Linked DNA regions of Danio rerio. The protein of the gene in region 2 interacts with the protein of the main gene of each other region in a biochemical or structural test. Links are inferred from orthologs where the notes say so. Each region holds a gene or a part of one and is shown on either strand. Other genes may lie near its edges. The genes, in order: jun, atf3 and jund.

Evidence for each region.
Region 1: the proteins of atf3 (region 2) and jun form a complex in vitro, tested with the Homo sapiens proteins (2 studies listed by BioGRID and IntAct, with this or other methods). The link is inferred for Danio rerio from reciprocal best matches to the Homo sapiens genes ATF3 and JUN.
Region 3: the proteins of atf3 (region 2) and jund form a complex in vitro, tested with the Homo sapiens proteins (2 studies listed by BioGRID and IntAct, with this or other methods). The link is inferred for Danio rerio from reciprocal best matches to the Homo sapiens genes ATF3 and JUND.

What each region holds. Positions count from the first base shown.
Region 1 is NC_133195.1:16,778,431-16,782,336, forward strand, and holds jun (transcription factor Jun), read left to right. Parts: upstream 1-1,444; 5' UTR 1,445-1,713; coding exon 1,714-2,640; 3' UTR 2,641-3,304; downstream 3,305-3,906. UniProt on the Homo sapiens protein: Transcription factor that recognizes and binds to the AP-1 consensus motif 5'-TGA[GC]TCA-3'.
Region 2 is NC_133195.1:41,075,813-41,080,144, reverse strand, and holds the start of atf3 (cyclic AMP-dependent transcription factor ATF-3), read right to left. Parts: upstream 2,922-4,332; 5' UTR 2,831-2,921; intron 957-2,830; 5' UTR 949-956; coding exon 706-948; intron 559-705; coding exon of another isoform or gene 518-558; coding exon 410-517; intron 1-409.
Region 3 is NC_133177.1:59,460,528-59,463,498, forward strand, and holds jund (transcription factor JunD), read right to left. Parts: upstream 1,504-2,971; 5' UTR 1,358-1,503; coding exon 506-1,357; downstream 1-505. UniProt on the Homo sapiens protein: Transcription factor binding AP-1 sites.

The DNA.
Region 1 (3,906 bases), about 24 Mb from region 2:
GTTGTAACAAAGTGAAACATGTCAGAGACCATCAATAAGTGCTAGAGTAACAGTAACACAAAAAAACTGTCTTCTCTTTACTTTGACCTATATGCTATAAAACAGTAGAATCAACCATATTTTAATGTACTCATAACAAAAACTAATTAATAAAATAAACAATAATAAAAACGACCATTCTTGCAAATGTCCATCTCAACATTACCTGTATATTTATCTTACTAATGTTGTTATAAATACAAATAAACTAGCTATTGTGTCTTTACATACGTTTAAGCAACGTCAGTAAAAATCTCAGAAAGTAAACTGAAACGTCACTTGTCAGCTGTCACGCTATATTCGATCAGTTTGTGGTTGTGGTTGACGCAGTGACGTTTAACAGGGTTGTTTGCACTTTTGAGAGGATCTCTAGGGACTGTCACGGATACGGCGGCTGGACTTTGTGGCACGCTGTCACTCCACAATAAGAAACGCCCCCATTTTTAGACCATTGGCTGACGGAGCAAATGCACTTTGGCATAAAAAAGCAGACTATAGCCCTGTTTCTTCGTGCCAGATTAAATTATGTATGCCTGTATAACACTGAGGTTTTTAAACTAGGGTTCGGGGACCCCCAGGGGGCCAACAAGGGAGTGCTGGAAGTGAAGAAGAGTAAAATTAGCAAATACTAATTAATTCATAATATATTTCAACGACTGATTAAAAAAAAATACTTTTAATCAGCTAATCTAACATTATATTCAAACAAAATGAGTAACATCAAGTTATGCTTATTTAATTTATTATTTCAGAAGGCATTTCTTCTATTTTTTTTTCGTTTTAAATCTCCCTCAACATTTTATTGTAAGGTTGGAAATTAGTTTCACTGACTCCAAACTGTATTTCTAATATATATTTTTTACCTTACTGATGTATATGCAATACATTAAACTGGATCCAGAGAGTGTTTGGAACTTGCTGTTGTTAAAGAATGGCCGCGTCTTGCGAAACTCGCGCAAGAATTGGTCAACTCTCAAACATACAGCGGCACACATTTATTCTGCCTCTTCTTCTCAAACTTATAGTAAAGTTTAAGTTCTAAAAGTGGCGCGTTGTACATTACTCTGCTTCTTTGTATCCCGCCACGGTCTAAAACAGCTAAGCGGGTAACCAGATATTCAAAAACAATACGTAATCCCACAATGCACTGCTTTACAGCATTACCTCATCCCATCAGGCACCGCGAGTAGAATCTTCTGGGTGGTCGTCTAGGCAACGCGCCTTATCTGAAATTGTGACACGCCCAGTAAAACGCCTCCAGCCAATGAGAGGCTGCGCGCATTACATCATTTCTATTTTTAGTGGGGCAGCGGTAGCAGATAAGGTTTGCCTCCACGCTGGAGAAGCTCAGAGTATACAGACCTCGCCACAGTGAAACACCTCACTCAAACCAACATAAATAAGCCTTCGGCTAAGCACTGTTTATCTGCTGGTGTCTGAGAAGCGCGACAGCGGCGGAGGAAGAACTTTCTATCCGCGGAAGGCAGGAGGAGACGAGCCCGTGACACTGGCGATAACTTTACGCAGTAAGTTTCTCGCGGGACGGGGAGTTGAGGAACTTTTCCAATCCTCTCGCTTTTGTTCCAAACACCGCAGCGCTCGTTACTGAACGCGGACAGTGCTTAACAGCGCCTAAAAGACTGCTTCTGAACTAAAAGTTTCGCTTTGCCTTCTATGTCTACCAAGATGGAAACTACTTTCTACGATGACTCTCTAAACAGCGCTTTCTCTCAGCATGACAGCGCCACTTTTGGATACAACCACAAGGCTCTGAAACACAACATGACGCTCAATCTGTCCGACCCCGCGGGGAACCTAAAGCCCCACCTGAGGGCCAAAGCCAGCGATATCCTCACTTCTCCCGACGTGGGACTTCTCAAACTGGCATCACCGGAGCTGGAGAGGCTCATCATCCAGTCTAGCAACGGCATGATCACCACGACGCCAACTCCGACCCAGTTTCTGTGTCCCAAGAACGTGACGGATGAGCAGGAGGGGTTCGCGGAGGGCTTTGTGAGGGCACTGGCTGAGCTGCACCACCAGCACATGCCCAACGTCACCTCGGCTCCCCAAACTACTATCAACAGCAGCATGGCACCGGTCTCGTCCATAGCGGGCGGTGCGGTCTACAGCTCAGCCATGCGCGCTGATCCGCCGGTTTACGCGGATCTGAACACGTTCAACCCTGCTATCAGCAGCAGCTCGGCCAATCCAGCCGCGATGAGCTTCCCGAGCGCACCACCGCAGCTGCCCGTCCAGCACCCGCGCCTCCAGGCCCTGAAAGAGGAGCCCCAAACGGTGCCCGAGATGCCCGGCGAGACCCCACCGCTCTCTCCTATCGACATGGAGAGCCAGGAGCGGATTAAAGCCGAGAGGAAGCGCATGAGAAACAGAATCGCCGCGTCCAAATGCCGGAAGAGGAAACTGGAGAGGATCTCCCGGCTGGAGGACAAAGTCAAGACCCTGAAGTCGCAAAACTCGGAGCTCGCGTCCACCGCCAACATGCTGCGCGAGCAAGTGGCACAGCTCAAGCAGAAAGTCATGAACCACGTCAACAGCGGCTGCCAGCTCATGTTGACACAACAGCTGCAAACCTTCTGAGGAGAGCCGAAGGACATTTTGAGTTCAGCCACATAAACAAACTTCAGGGGCTTGATGTCTGCGATCTGGCGCGACAGAGCCCGCGGGGACCGGGACCGTCCGGCCGGCCGCGTGCCGTTAAAGGATGATCCGACTGGACTTTTGAGGAGCGCAAAACTTCACTCGGTCCGACAGAGACGCAGAGCGCATGAGACTCACTCTGTTACATGTTTTACTTTCTGACGAAATCCTTGTTCACATCGACCAGGTTGTGCATGGACCTATACGCTTCAAAGGAGCACTCAGTATTATAGGAGTAAAACAGAGACGCGACTGCCGTACAGTAGGGATACTGGCTCACCAAGCAGGACGTTGTGTCTGCTAAACTTTTGATAAAAAAGCTGCCTGACTTCTGAGCTACATATTGTACTTTTTTTGTTGTTCTTAAATTGAACGGAAATCGACTTTTTTCCTTTTGAGTTAGTCCAACTTAAGCAGTTTCTTTTTCTAAAAAAAAAGTTCATTAATGAGGTTTCACTCATTGTTATTTGTAAATATGATCAACCAGGAGTACTTAAGTTTACCATTTGTAAGTAAAGTACAATAATTTTTTATGTTTGTTTTCTGAGCACCTCAGAAACTAATCAATATTTATGAACTGTAATAAAGTATGTCAAATGAAAAACAATGTCTCTGTTGTCTTAATGGAAATGACGCTTGTGTGTGTATGTGTGTGTGTGTTCAAATTGACAAACATGTAATAACATGTTTTGGAAGAGACTGGCTGTTTTGTAAAGTCCACAGACAGGACTGGGAAAAAAGGGTGTCAAAAAACATCCTTACAGTAATTAAAAATAATAACATTATAAATACATGCTTAATTGCTAAAGGTTAAATGCAAACTTAATATAACATTTTTACATCAAAATAAAGCAGACACATAATTTGATTGACTCTTTAAATCAGTAATGCTGAAATTATCAAGTAATTATCACACAGTCAAGTACTAAATAGACCAATGCCTTTAATCATGGCCTCATTTTTGTGTCAACTGAAACAAAAGTTTATTAAGGTTAGTGTTAGCCTGCAAATATGTTAAAAAAAATTGTAGAAGTTGAAGATGTATACAAGTTTTAACAATTTAACCAGCAACAATGACTTAATATTAAATTAATAAATGGTTGAAATTTAAAAATACTCCTTATAACAATAGTGTGTTATTTAGGCTATCAAATGTTAAAACTGATGAAAATGATTTACTAACATTTATAGGCAAATAATGCTGCA
Region 2 (4,332 bases):
GGCAGGATAGGGTAATTCGGCAAGTTATTGTATAATGATGGTTTGTTCTGTAAAAAATATAGCTTAAAGGGGCTAATAATTTTGACCTTAAAAATGTTTTTTTTAAAAATTAAAAATGCTTTTATTCTACTCAAAATAAAACAAATAAGACTTTTTCCAGAAGAAAAAATACTATCAGACATACAGTAAAAATTTCCTTGCTCTGTTAAACATCATTTGTAAAATTAAAAAAACATTAATTAATTAAAGGGGCCTAATAATTCTGACTTCAACTGTAGATGTAATAGATATAATGTAATCAAATACAGTTAAAAATAGCAAAAAAGATCAATAATAAAAAATAACAGATATAATATATGTTCATATAAATGTTACGTTTTTTAATCAAATGCTAAATAACAAGTAATACCTTTTGTAAATTATCGGTTTTCTCCTTTTTCTTGTTCCGACATTTTGCTGCTGCAATTTTGTTTCTTTCCCTTCTTCTTTTCCTTCGGTCGTTCTCCTCTGGGACAGCCTGAAATAACAACATCTAACAATTTGGGAAAGCCAAACTACCTAAAATGCCCACAAGTGGATGAACAAGTGAATTGTGCAAGCATGGCTTTTCTACGTCCACGTTACTCAATATAACCAATGTGAAATATGAGAAATTACACTTAAAAAAAAAAAAAACATTTGTGCCAGTAAATGAGTGGGTCTTACCTCTCGCTTCATCCCAGGTAGTTCGGTGGGTCTCTCAGTGTTCATGCAGGCTCTGTCAGTGGTCAGGGTGCTCATGCCGTTGGACATGCGTTTGTTCTGGATGGCGTAGCGCAGCTCCTCTTTCACTAATGGAGTGAAGTTTGTGAAGTCGTCCAGCGTGAGGGAGCCGGGCGGAGAGAGACAGGGAACCAAAGCTGATGCACTGATCTCTGACGGACCCAAACCAGGGTGCTGAAGCATCATGCCGAAATCTAAAAAAATACAAAACAACAGTTAAATCATGATGTTAACGAGGAAAATGGTAAGATAGATAAATAAATAAACAAGTAAAAATGTTACACCTTTCTCTATAAAACTACTGAAATAACTGTGTTATAGTTAGAAAATGATTAAGAACATCAGATTTATAGAGTAAGACCCATTAATTAAATTGTAACAAAAACAACATTTAAAAATGATCATTAAATATTGTATTTTAGAAATAAAAGTGTTTAATTGCATAATGTTATAATTATATACCATCAGTTATAATTTGTTAATAATAATAAACTATATAAACAATAGTTATACAGTTATTGTAATTAAAATATATATTCCTTGTTAAATATTATTGTCATTTATGATATTTATATAAATATTACATTTAACAAGGTGATTAATATAATATTAAATTCATTAAATGATATGCATTTTAAAGTGATAAGTGATTTTAAGTAATAAGAGATTTTAAAGTGATAAAGTTTTGATTAAGGGAGAATATTGTAGTCACAAGTTCTTGTGTTGTTAAATTTTGTTATGTTACGTTTATGGTTTATGTTTTTAAAGTTTTTATATTATATTATATTATATTATATTATATTATATTATATTATATTATATTATATTATATTATATTATACAGACACAACTGGCTAATAAAAGGCTAGATATCATGAGCAGAAAGTAATTTGGCTAACAATTTTTACCACATGTCATTCTCAATCAATCTTACAATGACAACCGTAATTTAAAAGCTCCCAGCTTCCACAGCTGTCAATATATATATATTTTTTTACAGTGACGTATTATAGATGTTTTACTCTCTTTACACAGTATATCGCTTTTTTTGTCATAAACACTCATTTTAACACACTTTTTTGTTATTTTATGTGTATGACTAGACAGGAATACATAAAGTAACGACTAGCTAACAGAATAATCTAAACCCATCAAATATTAATGAACAATTTCATATTAATAATAATATTTTAAACATTTGACTGACAGGTTTGTAGTACAGTGTAAAATAGTAAAGTTATAATCTTTAACTATTTAATGAGTTGTATTCGTATCAATCGGTTTTAATCCTTTTTAAAGGAATAAATAATGTAAATAAACATTAACGTTACCATTCAATTATAGATAGAAACTGTACAACTTACAATTATTAAAGTGCAATCTTACTCGTTACATTATTACAGTATTTATAGGGGTTTTCATAGGTTCTGGCTACCACAGCTGTCAATATTTTGCTTTTACAATGACGTATTATAGACGTTTTGCTCTCTTTATACAGTATGCTATCGCTTTTTTTTGTCATAAACATTCATTTCAACAAACGTTTTGCTAATGTATGTGTACTACTGTACAAATACATTATAGCCTACAGTAACAACTCGCAAACAGAATAATCTAAACCATCAAATATTGATTAAGAACCTTATTAGTCCTAATATTTTAACATTTAAGTGACAGGTTTTCAATACAGAGTAGGCTATATGAAATCATAATCTTTAACTATTTCATGAGTTGTATTCGTGTTACACATTGTCGATGAAGTAAACTTACTGACGTAACATTGTCGGTTAAACAATTTGAAAACAGGAGAACTTAAATCAATCAGTTTTAATCCAATTTTAATAAATATCGAACAAATATTAACGCAAAAAAACAGTAATGCACATACATTATAGCTAAATAAAAGTTCGTTAAAAAAGAGTTCGTTAACTCAAACCTAAATACAATCGCTTGACCCATAAACGCAAAAATCTCCCTTTAGTAGCCCAAACCAAGCACACCATAGACGTTTTCCCACAGCGTGTTCCAGAATAGCGATGAATAGGAAATCTACAATGCCGTCTCTTACCTGGTTGTGTGTAAATAAATGTAGGCGCGTGTGTTTGTGATGCTCTCCTGATGCCGGACTGTTCTCGCGCTCAGCTGCTAAAGTTACAGTTGTCGCCGGCTCGTTGCATCACCCCTTTTTATGGCTGGAGGACGTGAACTACTACTAGGGGCGGGGCGAGTGACGTCACCCTATTTATAGCATCAGCGGCGCTGTCCTTTCGCGATGATGCAATCAGGCAACCCTCTCCGCCGCGCACCATAACTGGGCAAACTCCCGCCCTCCCTCACAATAGTGAAGCTGACGAGCTGGCATGTTAACCTAATGAGCAAATAAAGACATATACTCGTGTAATGACAGGCCATCTCTGGTATGCTCTAATGTCATGTGCCGAATAGTTTTGAAAAAAGAGATATGAGAAAGAGAGAGAGTTTGACTGACTGACTGACAGACTGTCTGCTTGGTTTGAAAGAGAGCATATAAAATCCCTCTTGGTCTGTTAAGTTAAAAACACTTAGCCTATGTTTTCTTGTTTATGTCTTTTTTTTATTAGTATTTTTATGAAGAGATGGAGAGATGAAGCCAAGGTCAGTGTGTATATGGCTGTTTTTTTAAAAGCTTTAAATTTGGTTTTAAATGTCCACTGGCTCAGGGAAAAAACAGCTTTGAATATCTTTTATGGCGTTTGAATTTAGTTGGTTTGTTTCTGACTGAATTTAGGATTTTATCATTTAATAATAATTTAATTATTGTTATGTAATATTGTAACATGACATTTAGAGGTTTTCAGTTTTTAGAGGGTTGAATATTTGAGTGTATTCAACTTTAAAAGTTTAATTCGATTTATTACACTTTATTTGAGCATCCTTGTTACTTTTAATTATACATTATATCAAGTACTGAGTAAAATTAATTTAAGGTTCATTTTATTTGCAAATAATTATGCATTTAATTTATTTTTAGGCATATTCTGTCTAAAAAGAACACTAAAACAAATCTATCTATAAATATTATCTATCTATCTATCTATCTATCTATCTATCTGTCTGTCTGTCTGTCTGTCTGTCTGTCTGTCTGTCTGTCTGTCTGTCTGTCTGTCTGTCTGTCTGTCTGTCTGTCTGTCTGTCTGTCTGTCTGTCTGTCTGTCTGTCTGTCTGTCTGTCTGTCTGTCTGTCTAAACTAATAAGTTGGTGGATATGAGTAAGTTTTTTTCTTAATTAGTTTTGGTACATCTAATATGTAACAAAACACTATAAAATAAAAGTTTGCTTAATAAATATATAGTAAAATTAGTGATAGGCTTGTTATCTTTCTCATGTTTTTCTATTTCACTTTCCTTTCAATTCAATATTTAACGCAGTGATTTGGTGATGTTTTAAGGGAGTGGGTCGTCAGCAGTGTCTGCATTCCTCTTTTCAATGTGAAGCACAGCTTTCTTGCCGTAGCTGTTCATTATTACACAGCCCAGTCCACACTCTTTCCTATGTGTTCTGGAAATTTCCAGTAATCTCTCCTCACCGTCC
Region 3 (2,971 bases), on a different chromosome or scaffold from region 2:
TGGCCGCCGCGCCATCTAGTGGCTGTTTCCCAAATTGCTTTAGAGTGTCGCCTCTTGGTGATTCTATGCTCTTTTTTAACAGTAGAGTTCGTTTTTATGATATACAAGCTTGTGGACACCAAATTCGCGTTTAGGAGCTATAAAACCGAATATAAAGCTTGTAGTTGGTCACCAAAATGGAGCAACGGTTTTATTCACGTCACCTCAAAATTCAGTTTCTCAACAAATCTTCCGACCAATCAAATACTCTCTAGTATCTGGCAAGCCCCGCCACCTTCAGTCGCTTCAAAACGCTATTGGCTGTTTCATAAAGGGGAGGAGCTACTCTTGGTTCCTCTTTCTTCATGTTTCGCGTCAAACATCGTATAAAAAACGCACACTTCAAAGCACTTCACGGGGACCTTTAACTCCTCGCGCGCTGTGGAAATGTGAATGTATCCAAACCCCAAACCTTAAAGTTTGTCAACCACCCAAACACTGACAGATCAAGGAGTTCTGGTGAGTGTTAGTACGCCTGCACGGTGTTCGGCAGGAGCTGGCAGCCGTTATTGACGTGGTTCATGACTCTCTGCTTCAGCTGCGCCACCTGCTCCCTCAGCACGCTGGCGGTGGACGCGAGCTCCGTGTTCTGGCTCTTCAGGGACTTCACTTTGTCCTCCAGGCGGGAAATCCGCTCCAGTTTCCGCTTGCGGCATTTGGAGGCGGCGATGCGGTTCCGGAGCTTCTTCCTCTCGGCTTTGATGCGCTCCTGCGTGTCCATGTCGATGGGGGAGAGCGGCGGGCTGTCGCCGAAGCTCTGCATGTCTGGTACCGTCTGCGGCTCGTCCTTCAGCGGCTGCGGCTGCGCGGACATCGGGTGCGCGGGCGGCGGCGGTGGGAACGGGATGGTGTCTGTGGAATAGTTCACCGTGGTGCTCCCGTACGTGCTCAAGTTCGTATACACGGGCAGATCCGCGTTTAAGGCGAGGCTGGTGCTGCTGTTAGCGAGTCTGTTGAGCGTCGGGGGAACGCACGGTCCGCCGTTCAGCTGGTTCTGCTTGTGGAGATCCTCCAGCGCTTTGACGAAACCCTCCGCGAACTCCTGTTCGTCGCTTACCGACTTCGGGTAGATGAACTGGGAGGTCGGTGTGGTGGTGACCATCCCGTTGGACTGAATAATCAGCCGCTCCAGCTCTGGTGAAGCCAGCTTAAGGAGCCCCAGATCCGGGGAGTTGAGTATTCCCTCAGCATCCCTCAGATCCGGCTTCAGACTCGAGCTGTTCTGGTCGTCCAGGTTCAAGCTCATATCTTTCTTCATCATAATTGTTCTCAGTATTCCGCGTATATCCTTGTTTATGCGAAGCAGACGTGTTCCCATCCTACACTCTCCTGCCGTGTAGCGTCGAGCTCTCCGAGCGACCCATCGCGACGAAAACACAAAACTATTCTTATTTAAATGACCTAGATTAGTTTTGATATCTTGCGATTTATGGCGTCGTTGTTTTTTATGGTGTTGTTTTCTCCGGAGCGCGAGAGAGATGTGTTATCCACGGGGCGTCAGTACGCATTTGCAAGTTTTCTATCCCTAAAAATTCCATTATGTCACTTCAGAGCGCTGAGATTGGCCAAAGATGACGTTTTCTTCCGGTTTGATTTGCATAAGGGGCCGCGTTCGCCCGTGTCGCCGTGGAGACGGGGAGTAAACGGCAAACAGTGCGGTGCATTGTGGGTTGATGTCATAGCGGACGTAAAACGCGCGAGGGTGGAGGAATAAAAAGCAGGCGCTGCGGGAGAAAATGTTCCCTCGTTTCTGAACATGTTGAAGGTCTTTGGATGCTTTGATCGAGTGTTCCGTGATGGGTTTTATCTAATGGAATAATCCACACGCTTAAAAACAAAGGTGACAGGAACAGCCTAAAATAGGTTATCACAGTAATGCCACAAAAGAACATCTTTTAATTCAAATAAGTACTTTGAAAAGTCTTTTTCTACTATAAAGATGAAAAGATAATGATGTTCATGGTGCTTCTATATGCAGGTGGTTTTGACATTTAATGTACCAGTACCAGTATCTGTTTTCATGTTAGGGGAGAGTGGGGACATTTTTTGCATTTCCTTCAATTTTTTTGTGGAAACCCAAAATTTTAATATGATAAACCCACATCAATCTGACACCCACCCACATTGCTATAATATGTGTTCATATGATATTATATGCAGAGCTTAAACGTGAACAGACAAAGTCAAATGTTGTAAATGACCCCGATCATAGGAACGGTTGTAACATTCATTAAAATGTGTATTGATAGAAAAAAATTCTAAAACATGTTGGATTTTATTTACTTTTTTGGTAAAAGAAAGTTTAATAACCAACCAACCACCCAACCAACAGTGTTTTCAAAAGCACCGATTGACCCGCCCACCCCCTTCCCTAAACCCAACCAACAGTGTTTTCAAAAGCACCGATTGACCCGCCCACCCCCTTCCCTAAACCCAACCAAAAGTGTTTTCAAAAGCACCGATTGACCCGCCCACCCCCTTCCCTAAACCCCCCAAAAAAAAAACTATTTTTTTTTTTACTGAAAATCGAGACTGAACCTTTACTAAACTACTTCTTTGAACTAGGGTTGGGCGATGTCAACCAATTTGGCATCGTAAAATGTCTAATGTGAAACATCGCGATGGATGATGGCATCATTGTCGTAGGTGGTGGTGAATTAATAATTCATAACGAATTAATCATTTGTACCCTACCTCATTTCAACTACCTGACCCACATGGTCTTTGTTTTACCCATAACCAAATCCTATATAAATAAAGATAAGTTACACATAAATTACCCAACCAATAGTGTTTTCAAAAGTATGAGTGATCCGCCCGCCCACCCCCTTCCCTCAACCCAAACAATAGTGTTTTCAAAAGCACCGATTGACCCGCCCACCCCCTTCCCTAAACCCAACCAAAAGTGTTTTTAAAAGCACCAATTGACCCG